Xenopus tropicalis: one gene and its partners. The protein of the gene in region 1 purifies or fractionates together with the protein of each later gene. This does not show direct contact. Links are inferred from orthologs where the notes say so. Each region holds a gene or a part of one and is shown in the gene's direction. Other genes may lie near its edges.

The links. Proteins that work in one complex are often made in the same cells at the same time.
Region 2: the proteins of exosc5 (region 1) and dis3l purify together in Homo sapiens (affinity purification with mass spectrometry; 5 studies listed by BioGRID and IntAct, with this or other methods). This does not show direct contact. The link is inferred for Xenopus tropicalis from reciprocal best matches to the Homo sapiens genes EXOSC5 and DIS3L.
Region 3: the proteins of exosc5 (region 1) and zfc3h1 purify together in Homo sapiens (affinity purification with mass spectrometry; 3 studies listed by BioGRID and IntAct, with this or other methods). This does not show direct contact. The link is inferred for Xenopus tropicalis from reciprocal best matches to the Homo sapiens genes EXOSC5 and ZFC3H1.

Annotation. Positions count from the first base shown.
Region 1 is NC_030684.2:79,502,357-79,506,113, reverse strand, and holds the start of exosc5 (exosome complex component RRP46), read left to right. Parts: upstream 1-1,106; 5' UTR 1,107-1,136; coding exon 1,137-1,224; intron 1,225-3,757. Other genes in the region: bckdha (2-oxoisovalerate dehydrogenase subunit alpha, mitochondrial), read right to left, coding at 839-910. UniProt on the Homo sapiens protein: Non-catalytic component of the RNA exosome complex which has 3'->5' exoribonuclease activity and participates in a multitude of cellular RNA processing and degradation events.
Region 2 is NC_030679.2:117,114,313-117,117,969, forward strand, and holds part of dis3l (DIS3-like exonuclease 1), read left to right. Parts: intron 1-1,822; coding exon 1,823-1,951; intron 1,952-2,463; coding exon 2,464-2,599; intron 2,600-3,141; coding exon 3,142-3,318; intron 3,319-3,405; coding exon 3,406-3,484; intron 3,485-3,657. UniProt on the Homo sapiens protein: Catalytic component of the RNA exosome complex which has 3'->5' exoribonuclease activity and participates in a multitude of cellular RNA processing and degradation events.
Region 3 is NC_030679.2:59,906,489-59,910,145, reverse strand, and holds part of zfc3h1 (zinc finger C3H1 domain-containing protein), read left to right. Parts: intron 1-1,004; coding exon 1,005-1,203; intron 1,204-1,429; coding exon 1,430-1,524; intron 1,525-2,046; coding exon 2,047-2,151; intron 2,152-2,365; coding exon 2,366-2,470; intron 2,471-2,565; coding exon 2,566-2,731; intron 2,732-3,657. UniProt on the Homo sapiens protein: Subunit of the trimeric poly(A) tail exosome targeting (PAXT) complex, a complex that directs a subset of long and polyadenylated poly(A) RNAs for exosomal degradation. The RNA exosome is fundamental for the degradation of RNA in eukaryotic nuclei.

The DNA of each region.
Region 1 (3,757 bases):
CCGTTAAATCACATAACTAAAAGCACAATTTAGGCTACAAGTATCTGCAAATAATTATGTTTTCTAAAAACATTTTACACTGCACCATGAAAAAAAAGTTAGAACACCTTGAAAATATATATTCTTTCCCGTATGCAAAAACACAGAGAATCCAATACAGTGTAAGCAATAACTGTGGTACAGTACAGAACTAGGAATATTACTAGAATGTTGCTTCTATAATACTCCAACCTATAATATTCCAGTCCCAGAACTGCTGATCAAAAGCACAGGCAATTTTATACAAATACTTATATATAGATATGTACAGGGCTGTGTATACAAGTAGCACTATACAAATATATACCTGGAAATATGTGTGTGCATTTTGGGAGTATGTATACAAACATATTCTTCCTATTTATATAGCTGAAACAATGTTGTCACCAGCTGGTTTATGGACAGACAATCAACCAACCTGTTATTTAAGGCTAAAGCATATAAATGTATATACTATATAAGCTGTAAATTCAAATGTAAATTTGACTCCTTACAAATCTAGTCAGCAATATCACATATTTTTACATAATTCTGAACTGTAACTATAACCCACGTTTATTATAGCATATAACTTTTAAAACACATCTCCCAATTCAAACAGTTCTTGTAGTTCCCATGTATATACGTCAGACAGGCATACTAGTATTTTAGATGCGATGTACCTTATGGTACAAGATGTGTATACTTCTCAGTATACAAGACCAGGGTCTCGCATTTAGAAATAAAACATTTAAACTCCCCTTCCATCTGATTATCGTCTGTTTCACTCACACCAACGCGACCCCTGTACTCCTCTCACCTGTCTCCCACCGGCGCCTCTCCACCCTCCTGCCACAGTCCGGACCCTTAGAAGTGCCCTCAGCGCCGCCATCTTGCTTCGGAATGCTATCCCACTGCCTACATTTCTCTTAGGACCCCTATTCAACAGCTTGTCAAAAATAACCTCTGAAGTGAGAAATTGCGAGAATTGCGTATTTCCTATTATTCCCTGGGAAAAAAGGCTTTGGCATTGTTGTGTATAATTATACAGGCAAGTGTGGCGGTTGCCAGACCCCAAGGACCCCGGAAGTGTTTGCACATGTGGAAAGAAGGTTCTGATGGAGGCTGTAGGTTCTGTATTGCGGGAATACGGGTGTGAGCAGAGTTTGCTGAGCCGTCCCGATGGATCCGCTACGTTTCTTCAGGGTTAGTTTTGGCGCGCCTATAATTCCTCAAATCTTATGTGGAATACGAGGATATCAAGGGATACATATTGAAGGGAAGCGTAAAATGTTTTGCGGCTAAATCATTGGATGGAAATTGAATTGTAAATCCAGTGGCCGTTATTCTCATTTAATGGAACAGCTCTTCCATGTTGTCATAATGCAGAGGACAGCAATGGGGAATGTATGTGTTGTATTTGTCTAAAGTAGGTGGTTGCTGAACTGCAAACTTGTAAATTAAGCAATTTTCCAATATAGGATAATAAAAAATGTTCATGATTTTAAAATTGATACAATTGTTACTGAGAAAAAAGTTTCAGCCTGTTTATTGCAACTCTCTCCTGGTTTCCCCAGCTACTCTTAAAGGAACAGTAACATCAAAAAATGAAAGTGTTTTAAAGTAATTAAAATATAATGTGCTGTTGCTCTGCAAAAAACTGGTGTTTTTGCTACAGAAAAGCTACAATATAAATAAGCTGCTGTGTAGCCACGGGGGCAGCCATTCAAGCTGGAAAAAAGGAGAAAAGGCACAGGTTACGTAGCCGATAACTAGTAGATAAGCCCCATATAATGGGGGTTTATCTGTTATCTGTTAAGTAACCTGTGCCTTTTCTCCTTTGAATGGCTGCCCCCATAGCTACACAGCAGCTAACTTATATAAACTATAGTAGTCTTTCTGAGGCAAACACACCAGTTGTAGCAATATAGGGCAACAGTACATTATATTGTAATTACTTTTATACACTTTCATTTTTTGGTGTTACTGTTCCTTTAACTACTCCAAATCTCACAATGCCTTGCTTGTTCTGCCATTATCAGCTGCAAAGTAAAATAAAAGAATAGTACAAGGCAAATTTGTAGGAACTGAGGTGGTGGTGAGGAGAGACATTTTTTATTTAATTATTTCTATAGTCTGGTAGCAAATAATAGCAAAGGCAGACAAACTGCTCTTGGAATTTTATTTAGAAATTACTTAAAAAAAAACATTTAACATGTTTAATTCCTGCATATTATAACACTGCTTAAAATTACAATTCATTTGTACAAATACATATATATTTATTTAGGAAAAGGTCCTTTAAAATATTGGACACCAAATTGAATTGGGGACAGACTGACCATACTCTTACTCTAGAGCTATAAACGGTCATGTACAGCACTGTGATTATGATACCTGTGTGTACGCATTTAAATAAACCAAAATATAGGGAATATACACCATATTAAAAAATATAAGGGTATTGGAAGTCTCCTTAGAGTGCCATGACCATATACAGGCACAGAACCAAAGGCCAAGTGGTTTAATACAGGTCATTGAACTCTGAGGTGGCTTCTAATATCCACATATTTTACAACAGAGGAGGTTTTAGTCAGTAAATTATACAAATTACATCACTGATCAATGTTGGTAAAGAAAATCTTGTGTATTATAGCTATAGGGGCTTGTAGTTTTGGGCTCCTAGGCTCTGCACCATATTCAATTTTAGAATAAAGATTAGAAATGAGTTTCAACAAAAAATGTGAGCTATCCTTACAAAGTAGCAATCCAGTACCATGTTTAGGTGGTTTATAGCATTTTGACCAGTTAATAATTTTTAATGCAGTATAATTTTTAATGCAGTTCTCCAGTCACACAAAAATAGATTAATTCGGAAAAAAGAAACTAAAGGGTGTAAGCACATTGACCTAGATATCAAGCAGGTATATCATGGTGGCTTAGAATTCACACCAAACTCTCTGCAACTCTGTTCTACCAAGCTGCATTGATCAAGACCTATCACTTTATCCACCTTGTGTACAGTTTTACTCACCACCTTTTTATACCTATCACCATTTGAAAACTCGAAAGAGGGACACAATTAACTGCCATGCTCCTCCCGCCATTTGAAAACTACAAAGAGGGACACAGTTAACTGCCATGGTATGACTGCACCCACATTTTACCACACCCAAAATACCATGATCATAAAATTAAAACTAAAACCAAAAAAAAAAATCCAGACATGCCAGTAAAATCACTGCATAAATAACCAGAGAAGCCTCCATTAACTAAAGACATGACCATAAGATCACTGCATAAAATGGGTAGATTGAATGCATTGCCTCACTTAAGTTGCACAAGCAGCAAATCACAAACTTGTTCTTTTCTAGTACCCCCATGGTGCTTGTCATTTTGCCTTTGCCTGAAAAGGCAATTTTTCCATTTCCACAGTGGAACTTACGGCCATCTGTGATTATGATTGGCTGTGTTTGAGCCCCTGCTGAGATTGCTTTAAAGAAGAAAGAAAGGTAAAAACTCATAATTCAGGTTCGTTTATATATCACACAGGCAGTAATCTGGCTACTGTAGTTTTATGTGACTAAAGCTGACATACATGCACCGATGCACCTAGTTTCATACGATATTCACTGTGTGTATGGTGGATCGACGAGGTGAACATCACAAAAGCTTCGGATATGTCGCCTCGTGGAACGGGCGGGACAGAAGACTTTTATACGAGCAAAATCTGTGTTTA
Region 2 (3,657 bases), on another chromosome or scaffold:
TTAATAATAAATGGTCTAGGGGGGTTAAAGTTTCAGTACTTCAGTAAAGATAGTCATGGACTGTAGGCACAGACATGTTCCTTGTAAATGCTGGAAAGTGCAACTAATCATCATTGCCTGGCAGATATCTCTGGCATCTCTAGACATGTGGCACATCTAGACCTGGACACTAGGAAACTCATGTGGATTGTCCCTGTCTAAGAACTGGCTTTCTATCATTACTAAAAACCTCACATGTAAAGCCATCTGTAGCCAGCGATTGTCTTTGCCAATTAATGTGGTCTGGCTAGTTGGCCACAAGGCATGCAATATCTAGCTGGCATTAGAAACATCGTCATGTGCTGCTCAGGCTCTATAAACCTAAAAGGGACATGTTACAGATAAGCTGTGATTGCTGTATATTGTACCATTGCGTGTGAAACATTGCTTATGTGCAATGGCACAATAAATAACGGCATGTTTGTAGAAGGCTGGGCCCCCTTATTTATAGAAACTGGTTGCATTTTGATGTGGCCTTACATCTGGGGGTTGCAGCACTGGACTAAGATAATTGGCACAAAAATGCTGGGAATGCTCCTGCCAAACTGTTTTCATTATGTGCTGCAAGGGAGCTAAGCAGAAGCGACTGAATAGGCTATACACATGGACAGTTTTGGGCCACAAACACAATACACACTTCTGGCTGTAAAATTTGCTGCATCTGCAAATTCTAATGTCAGGACAACTAGTGTCTCTGTGGCAATTGTGTCTTTCAGAAAAATGACCCTGCTGTTTTCCTAATAATTTTTATTCTTAAAGGGGAACTCCACCCAAACACAACTTAAGCTTTTTGAAAAGAAAAAATAATTTTAAGCAACTTAAGCAATATACATCAATGAATGCAGCCTTTTCATAACTTTTAAAATAATAATATGGATTGGAAAAGTTACCTAAGCCTCGCCCTGCTGTTCCCCTGATGATCTGGCTAACTACTTGGGGACTCAAATAAAATTGCAACAATAGTCAACTGTCCTCAGCCTGCATCCTCAAAACCCCACACATCCTGCAATGCATTGTGGGTTATACAATTCCTGCATGCTGCCTGTAAGGCAGGGGGCTCAAACTCAATTTACCTGGGGGCCGCAGGAGGCAAAGTCAGGATGAGGCTGGGCCGCATAAGGGATTTCACAAAAAATTGGCTTTCAAGGGATAATGCAAGGCACGGCGGGAGCTGCCGATTGTGGAAATGACGTTATGCCATCATAACAGTTATTATGGGAAGACGTTCTGTGTGCACAATTAGCTCCTTAGCAGCTAATTGTGCACACAGAATGTCTTCCCATAATAACTGTTATGATGGAATAACGTCATTTCCGCAATCAGCAGCTCCCACCCACCGTGCCTTGCATTATCCCTTGAATCGCAATCCATTCATTGCTTTTGAGAAGGCGTTGGTGCGGGCCACAAAATACTGTACCGAGGGCCGCAAATGGCCCGCGGGCCGCGAGTTTGAGACCCCTGCTGTAAGGTGTGGAGAAGTTGTTATACTTCAGACTGGATTTTATCTAAAGGCATGATAAATGTCCACTTTATCTATCCAACAAATGTGATTTGTGTAATGATTTTGTTAGGATGTGACTATCATGTAATGAGCATCCTGCTTAAGAAATAATGTTCTAGGAAACATTAACCATTAAGTGATTATTAAGCTGCAGAATGAATGGCCATGTAAGTAGTGGTTGGTTATTTTCCTTCCAGTTTTGTTTGTTTTTTCTTTCTAAGATCTTAATTTTATCTGGCCTATTGTTTTTGGCTAAGCTAGGTTTATTGTGCTGTGTTTCAGGCAATACAAGAGGTTGTGTTCTCTGCTCAGAGATACTCGTCATGACTGCATTTTGTTTTCCAATGAGTTCCAGAACCATGCCTATCTTCCTAGAGAAATGGGGGAATCTGCTTTGGCCTGGCAAACAAGGTACTTCAGTTTGTCTGTAACGCTGCCACCTTATAGAATCAAAGCCTGACCTAACTGCACCATTCTTAATGGGATGGTTGATGTTTGAATGTCCTTGCAATTGGTCTTCATGATTTATTCTTTGTAGTTTTTTAATTATTTGCCTTCCTCTTCCCCTCCAGCCCAAATGGGGGTCACTAACTCTAGCAGCCAAAAACGATTGCTCTGTGAGGCTACAATTGTATTGTTATTATAACCTTTTATAACTTATTATTCTATTTCAGATTATCTTCTATGCTTATTTCAATCTCTTATTCAAACCACTGTCTAGTTGCTAGGGAAAATAAGACCCTAGTAACCAGATAGCCACTGAAGTACTTAACTGGAGAGCTGCTGATCAAAAGACTAAATAACTGAAAAATCATAAAAAATAAAAGATGAAGACCAGTTACAAACTGTCTCAGAATATCACTATCTACATCATACTAAAAGTTAATTTAAAGGTGAACAACCTCTTTAATGCTATTACTTAGGTGCATCTACAATTCTTGTGTATGGTACTATCAACACTGTCAGAAGAAAATCCCTGTTGTGATGGTCACAGAAGATAAGTCTGTCATAAGGCAGTACAACACCGAGACCCAAGAGGTGTACGTGGTCTCATTCCAGGTCAGTGTGAGGGATTTTGTATTAATCCAAAAGGCAGGAAGAAGTGCTAAGGGACAAACTGAGAACATGTTTGCTATCAAAATAAAAATTCTAACAGCTTTCCCCGCAAATTTGTCTCTCTTTAAATAATATATAAAAACATTTTATATAAAATAATAATAGTCGGGTATATGTCACAAGGAATAGAAAAATCATCCCAAGCTAAAGAATTGCGCTTGGATAAATAATGCATTTTATAGTACAATATTATATACAACAGTGCTGTCTAACTGAAGGCCTGGAAGCCAAGTACAGTCCTCCAAAAGGTTTTGTTTTGTTTTTTTTAAAAAAAAAGCTCTATAGATTTCTTTGTATGACATTTATTATTTAAATATTTGATATCAAATATGCGGGCCACTTATATGGACAGCAATATTTAACAATATGATTTTGATTCATCAATTTATGGATATGAAAAAAAAAAAAAGGAACATTTGTAGGAATACGGGAGAGTTAGCATGATAAAGTGCTGCAGGGTAAGTGCTTTAATGCATTTTATACAGATTTACCTGGAGACTTTCTGGCCCAATTTAAAAGGAGCCCTGGAGCTGTATAAATCTCTAAAAGAAACCCATCGAGAGCGCGAGCTAGAGAGCCGGGAGGGTAACGGCAAAGAATACCCGGAGCACCTGCCACTGGAAATTCTCGAGGCTGGAATTAAATCTGGCAGATACCAACAGGTGGGTGTTCTCCAATAATACTACAGGCCATGTGGGAACATATAGGCTGCAATGGAACTCATATCTACCACTTTCTGCCTTCTCCAGGGTGTTCTCAGTGTAAACAAGCACAGAGCTCAGTTGGAAGGTTTTGTACGACTTCAGGGCTTAGGAGGAAAAGAAACAGGTATTACAGGCACCTTTTAAGGCTTATAGCTCTGTTAACTCAGTAATGTTCTGTTACAGTTTGCTTTGTGAAAGGCATTTCTCCTATGAGACTCAAAAAATTTTGAGACAGCCAGGGAAACCATTTGTATATGAGATCATTCAGACTATGTAAAACTGACATATATATATATT
Region 3 (3,657 bases), on another chromosome or scaffold:
TTAACCGGTTTACCCTGCATATGCAAAGGATCTGCACTGGCAGAACTAATTTATTTTCGTTCTGTGGGGCACAGTGACCATGGTGGTGGATGTTATACCCCACGGCCCCTGGTTCCCACAGACCAAGGAAGATTAAAGGATTTAACGGTATCGCAAAATTGCCTTTGCTTTTCCGGACATCTGTGAGACACAGGGACTGTGGTGGTGCCTACTACACCCCACAGTTCTTGTGCCCCACAGGCTAATAATGAGAAAAGGATTTAATTGTAAGTATCGCATAATCCCCTCTTCTGCTTAAGCTTTAAACTTGTTTGCATTTGTAACATGCAACATAATTGCTTCTAACTTTTACTGGAAAATAGGGCTTCTCTCTTTTCCTCAGCTTATGTTGAGATTGATTGTTTACCAAAGTGACCTGCAAGGGCTAGTGCTATTTTCCCTGCCAAACAGAGTACTTGGTGAAGAACCGTACCTACTAGAGGGTGTAATAATCTGGGGAATGCAAAGCAACAATGTCCCGAGAGAAGCAGATTGTATCGTAAAACATGCTAAGTTGTTAAAGGTCCCCACCAAAGATGTATCATCTGTTACTTTTTTTTTTTTTTTTTTTTTTCTTCTGCCAGGGCTTGTGCAGTGGTAAATAATAAATAGTAAAAGGTTATTTCTAAAAGTGGTAGGGATGACCCAAAGTAAAGATCAAACGAAATTATACAGGGGGAGCTTTTCAATTTATCCTTTTTGCTCAGATACAGACATCTCCTCCCCACTGGTTGATTTTCCTATAGAAACAAGCAGCCTTTTGTGTGCTGGAGTCACAAGTGTGCTATGTTTTATTGTCTGTTTTATTATATAATGATCATCCTTATGATGTTCACTTTTCCAATGCTTTTGAAATTGTATGTTATAAATCCATGTTCTATACTCCTGGTGATATGCTAGAGCCCGCCAAGTAAAGGCAGTTAAAAAATAAATGTAATAAACTGACTTGTGTTTCCTCTGTTAAGGCATGATGAAGCAGTTGAGCTATGTATGCAGCTTCTGCAGTCTTCTATGGGTAACACTGACATATTGGAAGCTTTATGCACTGTGTACTTGAAGATGGCACAAGTTGAGAAAGCTATGGATGTTTGGATCACTGCATTCAAAAATAACAAACAGAATCCTAAGGTTTTCTACTATACCTGCAAGTTCCTAGTTTCACATGTAAGTACGTCAGATATAAAGTTAAAATATTTGGTAATGATTACTATATTCTATTTGCTGACATATGTAGCTCTTTATAGAGTGCTGAATAGTAATAGCAGTTAATGCCCTGGTTAGAATCAAGCACATAACAGCAGCATTGTGGCTGAAGTGCTAAACATATTGTTTGAAATATATAATTCATTTTGCAACTGATATTTTAAATGCATATGTATTACTTTTGCAGAATCACCTACAACATATGCCCTCCATCATGAAAGATTTTGTTTTGTCATTCTTTGATACCTTTGATGAGGAACATAACCCTACATACCTCCTGAGGTACATTATATATTCTCTTATACACAGTTCACTTGTGGCTCAGAGTGGACATATTACAGACCTCCCCAAATAATTTCTTGAAATGCAACTACCTCCAAATTTCTCTTTCTAATGAAATGTATATCTTGGATGTATAAGTTACCCGGTATTTAATATGACCTAAATGTGAATCTACAGTTATTTTGCCATTAGAGCACTAATGAGGTAAAGCATTAGTGGCAGTGGAAGGTTGCAGTTTGTAACCTATTGCACCATCTATACGGTGGCCTATTTGGATAAAGTTAAAAGACATCTGTTGGTTAAAAAAAAAAATAATAATGGTAATTTCATACAGAATTATTGCATGCTGTCCAGTTATCATTCAGACTGCTGTAGGCCATTAGAAATACAGATATATCTACTGCAAATAAAAGAAGGGACAAAAAGGGCAGTCTCCTAAAGCCCAGATTTTAAAAACAACCCAAAGACTGCCCTAAAATTTCTGAACATTCACTTTTCTTACTTTTGTGTTTCTCTCCTCAGGTACCTCCTAAATTTTTCACTTCCTCTAAATTTCAAAGCTCCAGTAGTAAAGGCATCTTTTAATGGTTCAGCACTGCAAATTCCATACATCTGGCTTGTATTTTGGTGAGTGGTTTTTCATTTATAATGTTAAGAATGTATGCTTGTTAACTGAGCATTGTTTCAATTGCTGGGCAAAATTACATTTAACATTCCTACAGTTTTAGCAGTGGATGGCATCCAGACATTCAGCCAAAACTGCCATATACAATAACAAGTTTAAACAAAAGCACAGGTTTTATCTAGTAGACATTTACTATTGAACACTTCTTATATACAGTTTATGGCAGTCTGTTCACTCGAGCACTGCAGAGACTATAGAGGCTTATGAGGCAGCACTGGGAGCTGTAATGCAACAGGAGGTGCTCCAGAATCTTTGGATGGAGTAAGTATTTCATATAGCTACCAATTTTTATAATAAAAGGCAAGTGTCTGTGTGCAAATATGCCATGAGATTTAATGGATATCTTTTCTTTTCAGTTATCTTATTTTTACTAACAGAAAAATTATGGAAGCCAAAAATAAGGTTCAAGAAGCTAAACATTTTTCGGATTTAGTTAACAGATGTCTGATGACTGTTCCTACAAGGCATCTCATTCCTTTTAGCACATCAGATTACTGGACCAGCTATGAGTTCCATAATTCGGTAAGAGGTGTAAAGAAATGTACTACATTGACTTTGCTTAAAGCCCAGTTACTTTTTGAAAGAAACAACAGAATTCTTACACTCAGCCTGTATTTTCTGGCTTCCCTAACAACTTTGGTAGGACCTTGATAAAGCAACGTGCAATGGGAATAATATGCACATTTCTTAGTTTTTATTTCCGATGTGTATGTAGAAAATCCATTTTTTTTTTTTTTTTTTTAAATAAGCTGTTTTTGCCTTTTCCGTTGGCAGTCATTGTATCTGAGCATGGGTCCTGTGGCATCTCAGGTTTAATCTGCTGTTGCACTTCAGATGTAAATGTGTCATTGGTATAAATTTGCTCGGGACCTGGGGTGTTCCGGATAAGGGGTCTTTCCGTAATTTGGATCTCCTACCATAAGTCTAATAAAAAAATAATTTAAAAAGTAATTAAATCCAATAGGATTGTTTGGGCTCCAATAAGGATTAATTATATCTTAGTTGGGATCAAGTACAAGTTACTGTTTTATTATTACAGAGAAAAAGGAAATCATTTATAAAAATTAGAATAATTTGCTTATAATGGAGTCTATGGGAGATGGCCTTTCCGTAATTTGGAACTTTCTGGATAATGGGTTTCCGGATAAAGGGTCCAATACCTGTATTACAGGTATGAGATCTGTTATCTGGAAACCTGTAATCTCCAAATTATTTCCAAATTACAGGAAGCTATATCCCATAGACTCCATTTAATTAACTTTGTCAGAATTTTAAAACCCATTCCCCTTTTCTGTAATAAAACAGTACATTTTACTTCATTCCAGCTAAGATGTAGTTTAGCCTTATTGGAGGTAAAACCATCCTATTGGTTTAAATGATCTTTTAGTAGACTTAAGATATTGAGATCCATATTACGGAGAGACCCCTTATCCAGAAAACATCAGGTC